Zea mays: one gene and its partners. Each later gene encodes a partner of the first gene's protein in a complex. Links are inferred from orthologs where the notes say so. Each region holds a gene or a part of one and is shown in the gene's direction. Other genes may lie near its edges.

Region 1 (3,511 bases):
CAATTACACCCTTGTAGCTTGCTCAATCCTCCTATCCACCTTGAGATTATGTAAGATCACTAAAGAAAACATTAGTCTCAAATAACACAAGATATGTGTGCTCCCCTCAAATTCTGCATCAAGTACTTGAATACAAGGTTACAATAAGCGCTAGGCGTTAGGCGGGCGTTAGGCCACTGTTTAGCGCCTAGAGAGCTTAGGCGTAGATTAATCGTGCTTAAGCGTTTGTAGGAATATACAATATAATATATATATTTGCACAGAAAAAACAGTTTTAGCTAGGAATTAGGGGTACTTACCTGGAATAATGAATAAAAGTATAGAACAGAAGAGATGGAGGAGCAGAGCAAGAGCAGAGGGAGAGGGAGAGCACGCCTGGATAGCTAGGGAAAAGGAGCAGAGAGGCGCTGACCCCGGTGGCCTGGACGACTTGACCAGAAGGAGAAGAGGAACCGACGGTGGCGGCCCTGGACAGCTGGGGAAGAGGACCAGTCTGGCAGCGGCCCTGTTTTCCTCCTCTTCCATGCAACAGCAGCTGCAGCTCCCAGCCTGTTTCACTCTCTCCCGGGCAACAGCAGCTCCCACCTCTTTCCCTCCTATTCACTTTCTATTCCCGCGCAGCAGCTTTTTTCTATTCCCGCGCAGCAGCTTCCGTGCTCACCTTTTCCCCGCGCGCCGAACCCCGCTTCCACACGCCTCCTTTCCGCCTCAGCGCGCATAGCGCAAATCACGCGCCGCCTACACGCGCCCACCGCGGAAACCACCGCCTAGGGCCTAAGCGCAGCGCTAACATGCCGCTTAGCGTCTAATCGTGATTAGGCGGGCGCTTAATCGCGCTTTTTTGAACATTGCTTGAATAACTTATTCTACCCACATTCTAGCAATTAAGGATGTGTTTGGTTGCCGGACAGAGTTTTTTGCTTAAGTTTGTGCATATTGCAAATCTTTTTGAAAAGATGTGAAAAAGGTATGGTTCTATCCCTTACTCAATTATTTTAGTTGCTAACTATGTTTGTCTAAGCGTTAGAGAATATAATGTATCAAAGTTTTGATATAGTTCTATCTTCTATTCAGAAAAATACCGATTTTTTCTTCTTTATATACAACTTTCGAGTATATTATTATTATTGACATGAATGGGCCACGGCTGTTTGAAAAACAGGCCCAAATAAAGAGTGGAAGAGGCCCATCGTCTCCATCTTATCTCGTTCCCAAACCCCAATTATCCGCTTCTATCCACAATCGCAATTCGCAAGCCCTTCCAACGGCAGTCATGGCTTCCATCACCCTCCTCTCCCTCGCTCCCACCGCCATCTTCCTCCACATCCCGGCTTTCACCTCCTCCTCCGTCGTTGGTCCCGGAATCCTAGCCGGCCGCTGGGCCGCGCCCCGCGCCCTCCCGCTCCGCGCGCTCCCGCCCCGTCGCGTCACCGTCGTCTGCAGCAGCGCCGCGGCGGCAGCCGAGGCCTCGGACGCCGCAGCGCCAGTGGAGAAGTTCCGGCTCGACAATTTGGGGCCCCAGAAGGGGTCCCGCCGGCGGCCCAAGCGTAAGGGACGCGGTATTGCTGCAGGCCAGGGCGCGAGCTGCGGGTTCGGTATGCGCGGGCAGAAATCGCGCTCGGGGCCCGGCGTCCGGCGCGGGTTCGAGGGAGGGCAGATGCCGCTCTACCGCCGTCTCCCCAAGCTACGGGGCATTGCCGGCGGTGAGTTGCTTCAGTTAAACCGAAGCTTCCCCTAATGCACTCAATCGAAGCAACTCGCTAAGCTCTAGTTCAGACAGATGCTTGTCTCACACCCCCACTTCGGCATTGCCCATCCGTGATTAAATTCACACCAGGCTGGCGCATAACTAATTGAACTATGCATTGTGTTGTTACTCGTGAGAGCCCATCAAGGTTACAAGGAATGCAGAAATGCAAGTGATTGAGAAGTTGCCTGATGTGAGTTCCACCATGGCTTTTCAGGGATGCACATTGGCCTGCCGAAGTATGTGCCATTCAATTTAAAAGACATAGTGCGCGGCGGATTCAAAGATGGTGACGAAATATCACTGGAAAGCCTGAAATCACGGGGTCTGATCAATCCATCAGGCAGGGAAAGGAAGCTGCCGCTGAAGGTAAATCTTTTGATGATTAACCTTTGGTTGTTTCAATAAAACTTGTTTTGTGGACTGGTATTTGTGACATAGAACTTGACACGTTCGAAAATATGAATGACTTCATATTCAAGGGTTTGGCTTAGGTCTTGGCCAGTGAGGACATGTTCTCTTTAAGGCAACCTTATTGTACCCCAGATTTGAAGCAAGAATCGAAGTGTTTAGTGATTTGTCGTTAGATTGAGTGGCCAGTATTCTTACTTTTTTACTTCTTATAGGTTGTTGTATCGATTCTGAATTAGCCTGTGATAATGTTAGGTACCAAGTTTATCCACTTGAGTTAGAGTCATCTATTAGAACATGCAATACGGGATCGAGTTTTTTTGGTTGTTTCTGTTAGATGAGCACCACTTGAAGTGTTGAATAGCTTTGTTTGTACAATTTGGCAATGTTCCCATAGGTTGTTCATTGGATTTACAATATATTCTAGAGTAACTACAAACTTCCATATCTGCTAACATAAACATGAAGTGGCATGTGCCACCTGTTAGTTTTTGCAATCATATTTTGTCTTACCTTCATGATCACTTGTTGTTCACCTGTTTGTAGATCTTAGGAGATGGGGATGTATCAGTTAAGTTGAATATCAAGGCTGGAGCGTTTTCAGCTTCAGCTAAAGAGAAGCTTGAGGCAGCTGGTTGTTCCCTAACTCTGTTACCTAAACGAAAGAAATGGCTTCCACAAAATTATCTAAAGAACCAAGCCCGAGCAGAAGAGTACTTTGCCAAGAAAAAAGCTGGTGCTGGTGAATCTGATAGCGGCTCTGCATAGAATTTCTTTGCGATGTACTCTTCTCTTGCTTTTAGCATATGCTTATTACTGAGCAAGACACACCGGCTCAACTAAAAATGTTCATAACTTCTTCATCCAAACTCTGACTTCGATGATATTAGACATTTCGGAAATTTTATTTAAAGGGCTACGATAGCCACTTTAATAATTGATTCAGAACAAAATGGACTAATCCAGAATTCAAATCCAAAGACACAACCCTTGGTTAGGAGAATATCGAAAACCTTTTTTTACAAAGAAAGTTAACTCCAAATGATTTCCCACGTGATGATCAACACCTTTAAGACTTAGTTAGCATTTTCAAAGGTTTTTTATCTCAAACTTTATCCACCACTTGATCCTAGCAACATATGCAAAGTTAGATCACTCAAGTGGCTCTAGATGACAGATATGGAAACAATGTTGACTATCTTAATAGTACGACCATCTATTTTAAACCAGATTATGCACAATTCTACACAACCTTTGATTGGTGAAATGAGATGCTCTGCAAGTAATACATTTCCCTTGTACATTCTATTTCATCTCCCGAAACAATGACACAACACAAGCATCGACCTCTAT
Region 2 (2,407 bases), on another chromosome or scaffold:
CAGATGGTGACCAAGAAATGTGAGCAGACTCCATTTCTCTATTTCTTCTATCGGTCCTGAAGTACTTATTTCTTTTCTGATGGATGGATGAATGGATGATGGTTCATTAATGAGTACTTGCCGATGTGGTGATGTCTGAAATCTAGATAGTTTGTGTTACATGTTAGTACCTAGTTATCCCTTAAGGGCTTGTTCGGTTACACGAATCCAGAAGGGGATTGGAGGGGTTTAAATCCCCTCTTAGGGCTGATTTGGTGACCCGGGATCCCGGGAGGATTGAAGGGGATTGAGGGGAAAATTAGTTTATTTCCCCCTCAATCCCCTCCAATCCTCCCGTGATCACCTTGTCACCAAATCAACTCGGTTGATTTGGTGACAAGGTGATCACGGGAGGATTGGAGGGGATTGAAGGGGAAATGAACTAATTTCCCCCTCAATTCTCTCAAATCCCGCCGTAATCTCTGGTCACCAAATCAGCCCTTATTGGCTAGTTTGGAAACTCACATCCTCTTCGGGATTGAAGGGGATTGGAGAGGAAATTAGTTCATTTCCACCCCAATCCCCTCCAACCCTGAAGGGGATTTGAGGTTCCCAAAGTAGCACTAAGGGTTAGTTTGGAAACTCAAATCCCTTCAAGATTGAAGGGGATTGAAGAGAAAATTAGTTTATTTCTACCTCAATCCCCTCCAATCCCAATGGGGATTTGAGGTTCCCATTGACTAGGAGGGGATTTAATACCCTCCAATCGCCTTCTGGATTGGTGTGCCTGAACATGCGTTAATTGGAGATGGGGACCCATTGGGGACCCAAAACCCGAATGAGGATGAGTATGAGATGAATTTTGCACCCATAATGGGTATGAGGATGGACTAAATATGATAGGAATGAGTTTGGGATGCTATAACCCGATGGAGAATTCTCCATTAACATCTCTAGATGAGTTAGAGATAGCTTTAGAAGTACAAGCTAGTTGTGCCGAAACATTTTTCAACAAAATTCGGGAGACAACTGATCGTTGTACCAAAAGAAATATATTATGTACCCGTGAGCCTCATTTTGTTTTGTTGAAGCTTCATCAACGGCACATCTTAGACCACGGAATTTTATAATATAAAAAGGTGACATGGCATTTTATGATAAGAAGAGGGCAGGGGACTAAACAATTACAAGTTTTTTTTAAAAGAAGTGGAGATATAAAAAAGGAAAAACACTCGATGAGTGAGCGGTCAGATGATCGCACATAGTGTGGGCCAGATTTCGCTCAGCGTAGCAAATCCCGCAATCACAAAACCCAATCCGAAACAGTCCTCCTCCCATCTTATCCCAAACACAACCCACACTACTACCCTACCCGTCCGCCTCTCTCGAAAGCGCAGCACCAGCGAGCATGTCGCCTGTCACCGCACTCCTGGCGGGCACGGTGGTGCCGCCGGCCTCGGCCCCGTCGCCAGCGAGGCACGCCCGCCATTACTCCGTCGGCTTCTCCCCGCTCCACGGCGGCGGGCGCGCGGCGCTGGCGGTGGAGTGCTCGTCGCGGCCGCAGAAGAAGGGGACCAAGCACCACATGAAGACGCGGCCCAAGAAGACGCAGCCGTGGGACATCAAGCGCCGCCCCACGCAGTACCCGCCGCTGCCGCCGCTCCCGCCGGACTGGACGCTCGTCGCCTCCGGCGCCACGGTGGACGTGGAGGAGGCGGAGGCCCCGGCACCCGCCGCGACTCTCGTCCTCGACGTGGCCGCGGCCACCGACTGAGGCCGCCGCGGCGTGTCGCCAAAGTTGTTCCCTTGAACCTCCGCATAAGCTGTTTTTCTTTGAGATTTATTATATAATAACAATGGCTGCCCAGATTTTGTGATTATAAATTAAGAATCTTTCATTGCTGTCCAGATTGTGGCTGTCACCGCGTCCAATTTAGTGCGTTGCTAGATGATTTCTTGGTTGCATGCTGTGTGCAACGCTTATTCCATGCCGTCAGTGGCAGTGCAGACTGCAGAGTGATTAGCTACTCCATCTCCATAGTTTGCCAGTTAAGTTATGATGGGATATGGATTACGCAAATATAGTCTTCAAAAGGGGGGGAAAACAAGCAGCCCAACGAAGACATCTGCCTCTTGTTTGACTTTAGGAGCTGGCTCTGTTTGATTTGGACAATTGCCTGATATTGGGGAAGGTTCGGTAAACAGTAAACTCAGCTTAGATGGCAGGAACAGCCATTGAACACTGCAAATGATAGGAAATTTTAGAAGTAACCTAGTTGTTTGTAATGTTGCTTTTGTTGGAGCATGATTGTGCGAATTCCATATGCTACCTGCCTACCTAGGGATGGCAATGGATACGGGTATGGGTAAATAACCGCGGATAATTATCCATTGGATATGAGTATGGTGGAATTTGATATCCGCGGGT
Region 3 (3,672 bases), on another chromosome or scaffold:
GGAGCAACGGCAGTTCCAGAAGAAAAAAAGGTACCAAAACCTGTCACTCATGGGGAAGGGATCACATTCACATTCACATTCACCAATCACCATCATGGCCGGTCGGTCGCGGCGTCTCTCTCTCTCTCTCTCAATCCTTCTCTTTTTTTACAGTCACGGCTGATATGATCTTGGGTTTTATCTAACCCTCCCCATCATTCTCGTTTAGACCCAGCCTGCCTGCTTGCTTGGCCTTTTCGTGTCCTTTTCAGTTCCAAACTATTCACCGTGCAGTGGCAAAGATCGATATGGACTAACATTTTACAACCGCAAGCACGCTATAATTTGTCACAAATAAACAAGAGTGGGAAAAAGATAGAGGAAATGCGTTGTGTCGGTCGGGTCCGGCCGGGGTGGGGTGCGGGTGTGGGTGTCGCCGGCGAATCGTCAGACGAGGCAATGATCGCCGGCGGTCAATGTCATCTCTCCGTCCCCCTGCTGACGGTGCGTGCGGTGCGGTGACTGCTGCTAGTACAAGTAGTAGCAGCAGCCTGTGAGCGCCGTGCGCTGCTGCCTCTTTGAAATTTCTGGCATCCCTAGTGCCGCCGGAAATCTAACGCACACGGAGACGGAGGAGTAAACAGTGCAAACTGCAGCGAGTGAGCGGATGGAGCGTCTGGACTCTGGAGAACACGAGATTATTAGTGGGTGGTGGTGGTGGTGGTAGGGCCCTGTTTGCTTGTGTGGTCTGGTCTGGGCCATGATTAACTTGGACCCCCAAACGCTCTGCATCTCCCGCGCTTTCGTCAAGGATCCTAATCATGCCATGTGTCGGTCGTCTCCTCTTCTTCCGGCTCCAGCTTTGCCGTTGCCGCCGGTCAAGCCCATCATCATGCCTACTGCTTCTCTTGCTCTTGCTCTTGCTCCACAACAAGCCTGCCTGTCACTCTAGCTAGCTTCCCCGGCTATCTCCCCACGTGCCGACGCTAGCTAGCTGTGGCCATTCAGCGTCTCTCTGTGCAGCTCCGGAGGGAGGAACAAGATGATGCCCTTTTGGTTCACATATCATGTTTGTTTAACTCTAACTGAGCCTATTCAGACTTATTATCGTTGGTACTTGAATGTGAATCATTATCGTTACCACTTACGTTACATATCATGAACCAAACACCACCACACTGATCATTTTGTTTTCCCCCTGAATGATTCCTTCGTGAATCCTGTGTTGCCTTGCCTAAAACTACAAGGACCAAAACCGGCCAGGAGCATAACACCATTTCCCTCCCTTCCAATTCGGCCAGACACTCTGCAAGCACCACGAGGCCCATCTGCAAGTAAGGCCCAAAAACTCCAGGACCCAAAACACTGGGCCAACCACGAACGAGCCCACGTCTCCCGACTGCATCCCTTCTCCACTCCGTTATCACCAGCGCCCACACCTCTGTACCTCACCGCCTCATCTGCTCTCTTCCCCCGTCTTCTTCCCAAGCTGCCACGTTGCCTCCCTCCGCTCCAGCGGCCCATGGCCTCCATGGCGTTCGCCCTGGCGGGGGCCTTCAAGGGCCTCTCCCTGGCGCCCACCACCACCACCTCCTCCTTCCCGCGCTGCGACCGCGCCTCGCTCTCCGTCGGCGGCGCAGCGGGCGTGCCGGTGCCGGTGCCGGCGCGGCGGCTCACCATCCAGATGGCGCACAAGAAGGGGGCCGGGAGCACCAAGAACGGCCGCGACTCCAAGGGCCAGCGCCTCGGGGTCAAGATATACGGCGACCAGCTCGCCAAGCCCGGGGCCATCATCATCCGCCAGCGCGGCACCAGGGTCCTGCCCCCCTCTTGCTCCCTTCGCTTCCCTTACCTGTTACTGGTTTGCTTTGGGTTAGTAAGACAGCCTAGGCTCTTGCTTGCGTGGATTATGGTACCTCGTTGACTGGCTCTGCTGGGCGACATAGCTCTCTCTGCCTAGCGTTTGCTTGCTGCTCACCTGCTGCTGCTGCTGCTGATGCAGGTTAAGCATATTAACCACCGACCAGTACCTTCATACGGATTACGGACTGCGAATGCTAGAATCTTACGATGTACCTAGAATGCTTGCCATTGCACATGTTACGTTGGAATGTATGCTGCCATTGTGCATATCTGCATTTTCCATAGTTTACCACTCTGCAAAAGCAGGAAAGAAAAGATTGCAGTTTCTTGCATACATCAGATAACGGGAGGGGAAAGTGCACACACAAACCTCGCTGGGGAATGTAACGTACTAACCTCAATGCCCTATGGAGCCAACTGGTGGTGACTTAGGGGGGTGTTTGTTTGGGATTATAATCTGCCCAGGTTATATAATCCAACAAATTTTGAACTAAACACCCACCTTACTCTGCACACATGGTCAGACATAGCTGTTCAATATTAGGCATACTGTAAGATGGTCGGTCAATCCTTGTAAAAGATATTTCATGAACTTACATGTCTTACGATTTGGTTGGTCCGTCCTACTTACCAGCGCGCTTCAAATATTTAAGATGTTTATATATTATGGATACTACATGGTTTATACCATCGTGTCCCTTGTATAGAGTTCGTTTTGGTCCCCGTTTTGTGGTCTGTCTGTTCCTTGCCGTTTTTAAGTTTTTTCTTAAAATAAAATCTTTTGGACATTTCAGGTCTATCCTGGAAATAACGTTGGAATGGGCAAGGATCACACACTCTTTTCTTTGATAGATGGACTCGTCAAGTTTGAGAAGTATGGGCCGGACAAGAAAAAGGTTAGCTGTATCTTAGTTACTACATACTGAAATCTGCTTTTACTTGCATCTGACTGAGATCTGGTTGCACACCAGATATATGCTCATCTCACTACCTCTCCTTTCATAGGTTAGTGTTTACCCATATGAGAAGGAGCCTGAAAACCCAAACAGTTACAGAGCAAGGAAGAGAGAGTACTTCCGCATGCGGCGTGAACGGAAGAAGGCGAGAGCGGAGGGCGCCGCTGAGCCTCAGTTGGTACTAGCTGCTGTTGATGAAAACTCTGAGGTCAGCGCGGACTGCTGATAAGTTTCCTGTGTGGTGTTTCTCTTTTTCACAGCCCTTGTTACACTTTTTCTTCCTTAATTGTAAGACCACATGATCTATAAAGGTCATATTTACATGTGTTGTTTAGATAAATGGATATGTTCTACTTGTACTTTTTGTGGGGTAGTTGTGCTTTAGAGTCACAGTGGGGGTCTATTCCAACTTCCTAGACCACTCCACGTAGGGCGTGTTTGGTTCGGCTTTTTTCTGAATAGCTTTTCTGAAAAGCTGGTGGTTAGAATTTAGGTGTTTGGTTCGCCAGCTGTGCGGAAAAGCTGTTCGTTAGAATCTAGGTGTTTGGATACACAGATTCTCAGATTGCAGATTCTGTTTGAAGAAACTATACACATTAACACCGAACCAACAAAAGGTCATTACATATAATTAGTGGAGTTCATTACAACATAACTACTGTTACATTTACATATTTAACTACGGCACTAATGCATTAGCAATTGCATCTCGAAATGCACTCATGTCTAACTCATCAGATGTGATACTACTACTCTCACCTACAGATACATCATGACCAAGGCTATTAGGTCCTAGTTCATCAAAGTCTCTATCGTGTAGAGCACTGTCTCTAATGAAGTTATGCAATGTCATACATGCAATAATTATCTTGGA

Evidence for each region. Proteins that work in one complex are often made in the same cells at the same time.
Region 2: 50S ribosomal protein L15, chloroplastic-like precursor (region 1) and 50S ribosomal protein 6, chloroplastic-like share a complex: the UniProt entries of both Arabidopsis thaliana proteins name them as parts of the 50S ribosomal subunit. The link is inferred for Zea mays from reciprocal best matches to the Arabidopsis thaliana genes RPL15 and PSRP6.
Region 3: 50S ribosomal protein L15, chloroplastic-like precursor (region 1) and 50S ribosomal protein L27, chloroplastic share a complex: the UniProt entries of both Arabidopsis thaliana proteins name them as parts of the 50S ribosomal subunit. The link is inferred for Zea mays from reciprocal best matches to the Arabidopsis thaliana genes RPL15 and RPL27.

Annotation. Positions count from the first base shown.
Region 1 is NC_050096.1:27,447,227-27,450,737, forward strand, and holds 50S ribosomal protein L15, chloroplastic-like precursor, read left to right. Parts: upstream 1-1,272; 5' UTR 1,273-1,273; coding exon 1,274-1,703; intron 1,704-1,964; coding exon 1,965-2,116; intron 2,117-2,704; coding exon 2,705-2,926; 3' UTR 2,927-3,011; downstream 3,012-3,511.
Region 2 is NC_050099.1:216,898,344-216,900,750, reverse strand, and holds 50S ribosomal protein 6, chloroplastic-like, read left to right. Parts: upstream 1-1,315; 5' UTR 1,316-1,387; coding exon 1,388-1,753; 3' UTR 1,754-1,887; downstream 1,888-2,407.
Region 3 is NC_050103.1:167,360,481-167,364,152, reverse strand, and holds 50S ribosomal protein L27, chloroplastic, read left to right. Parts: upstream 1-1,439; 5' UTR 1,440-1,501; coding exon 1,502-1,795; intron 1,796-2,636; coding exon 2,637-2,738; intron 2,739-2,847; coding exon 2,848-3,024; 3' UTR 3,025-3,152; downstream 3,153-3,672.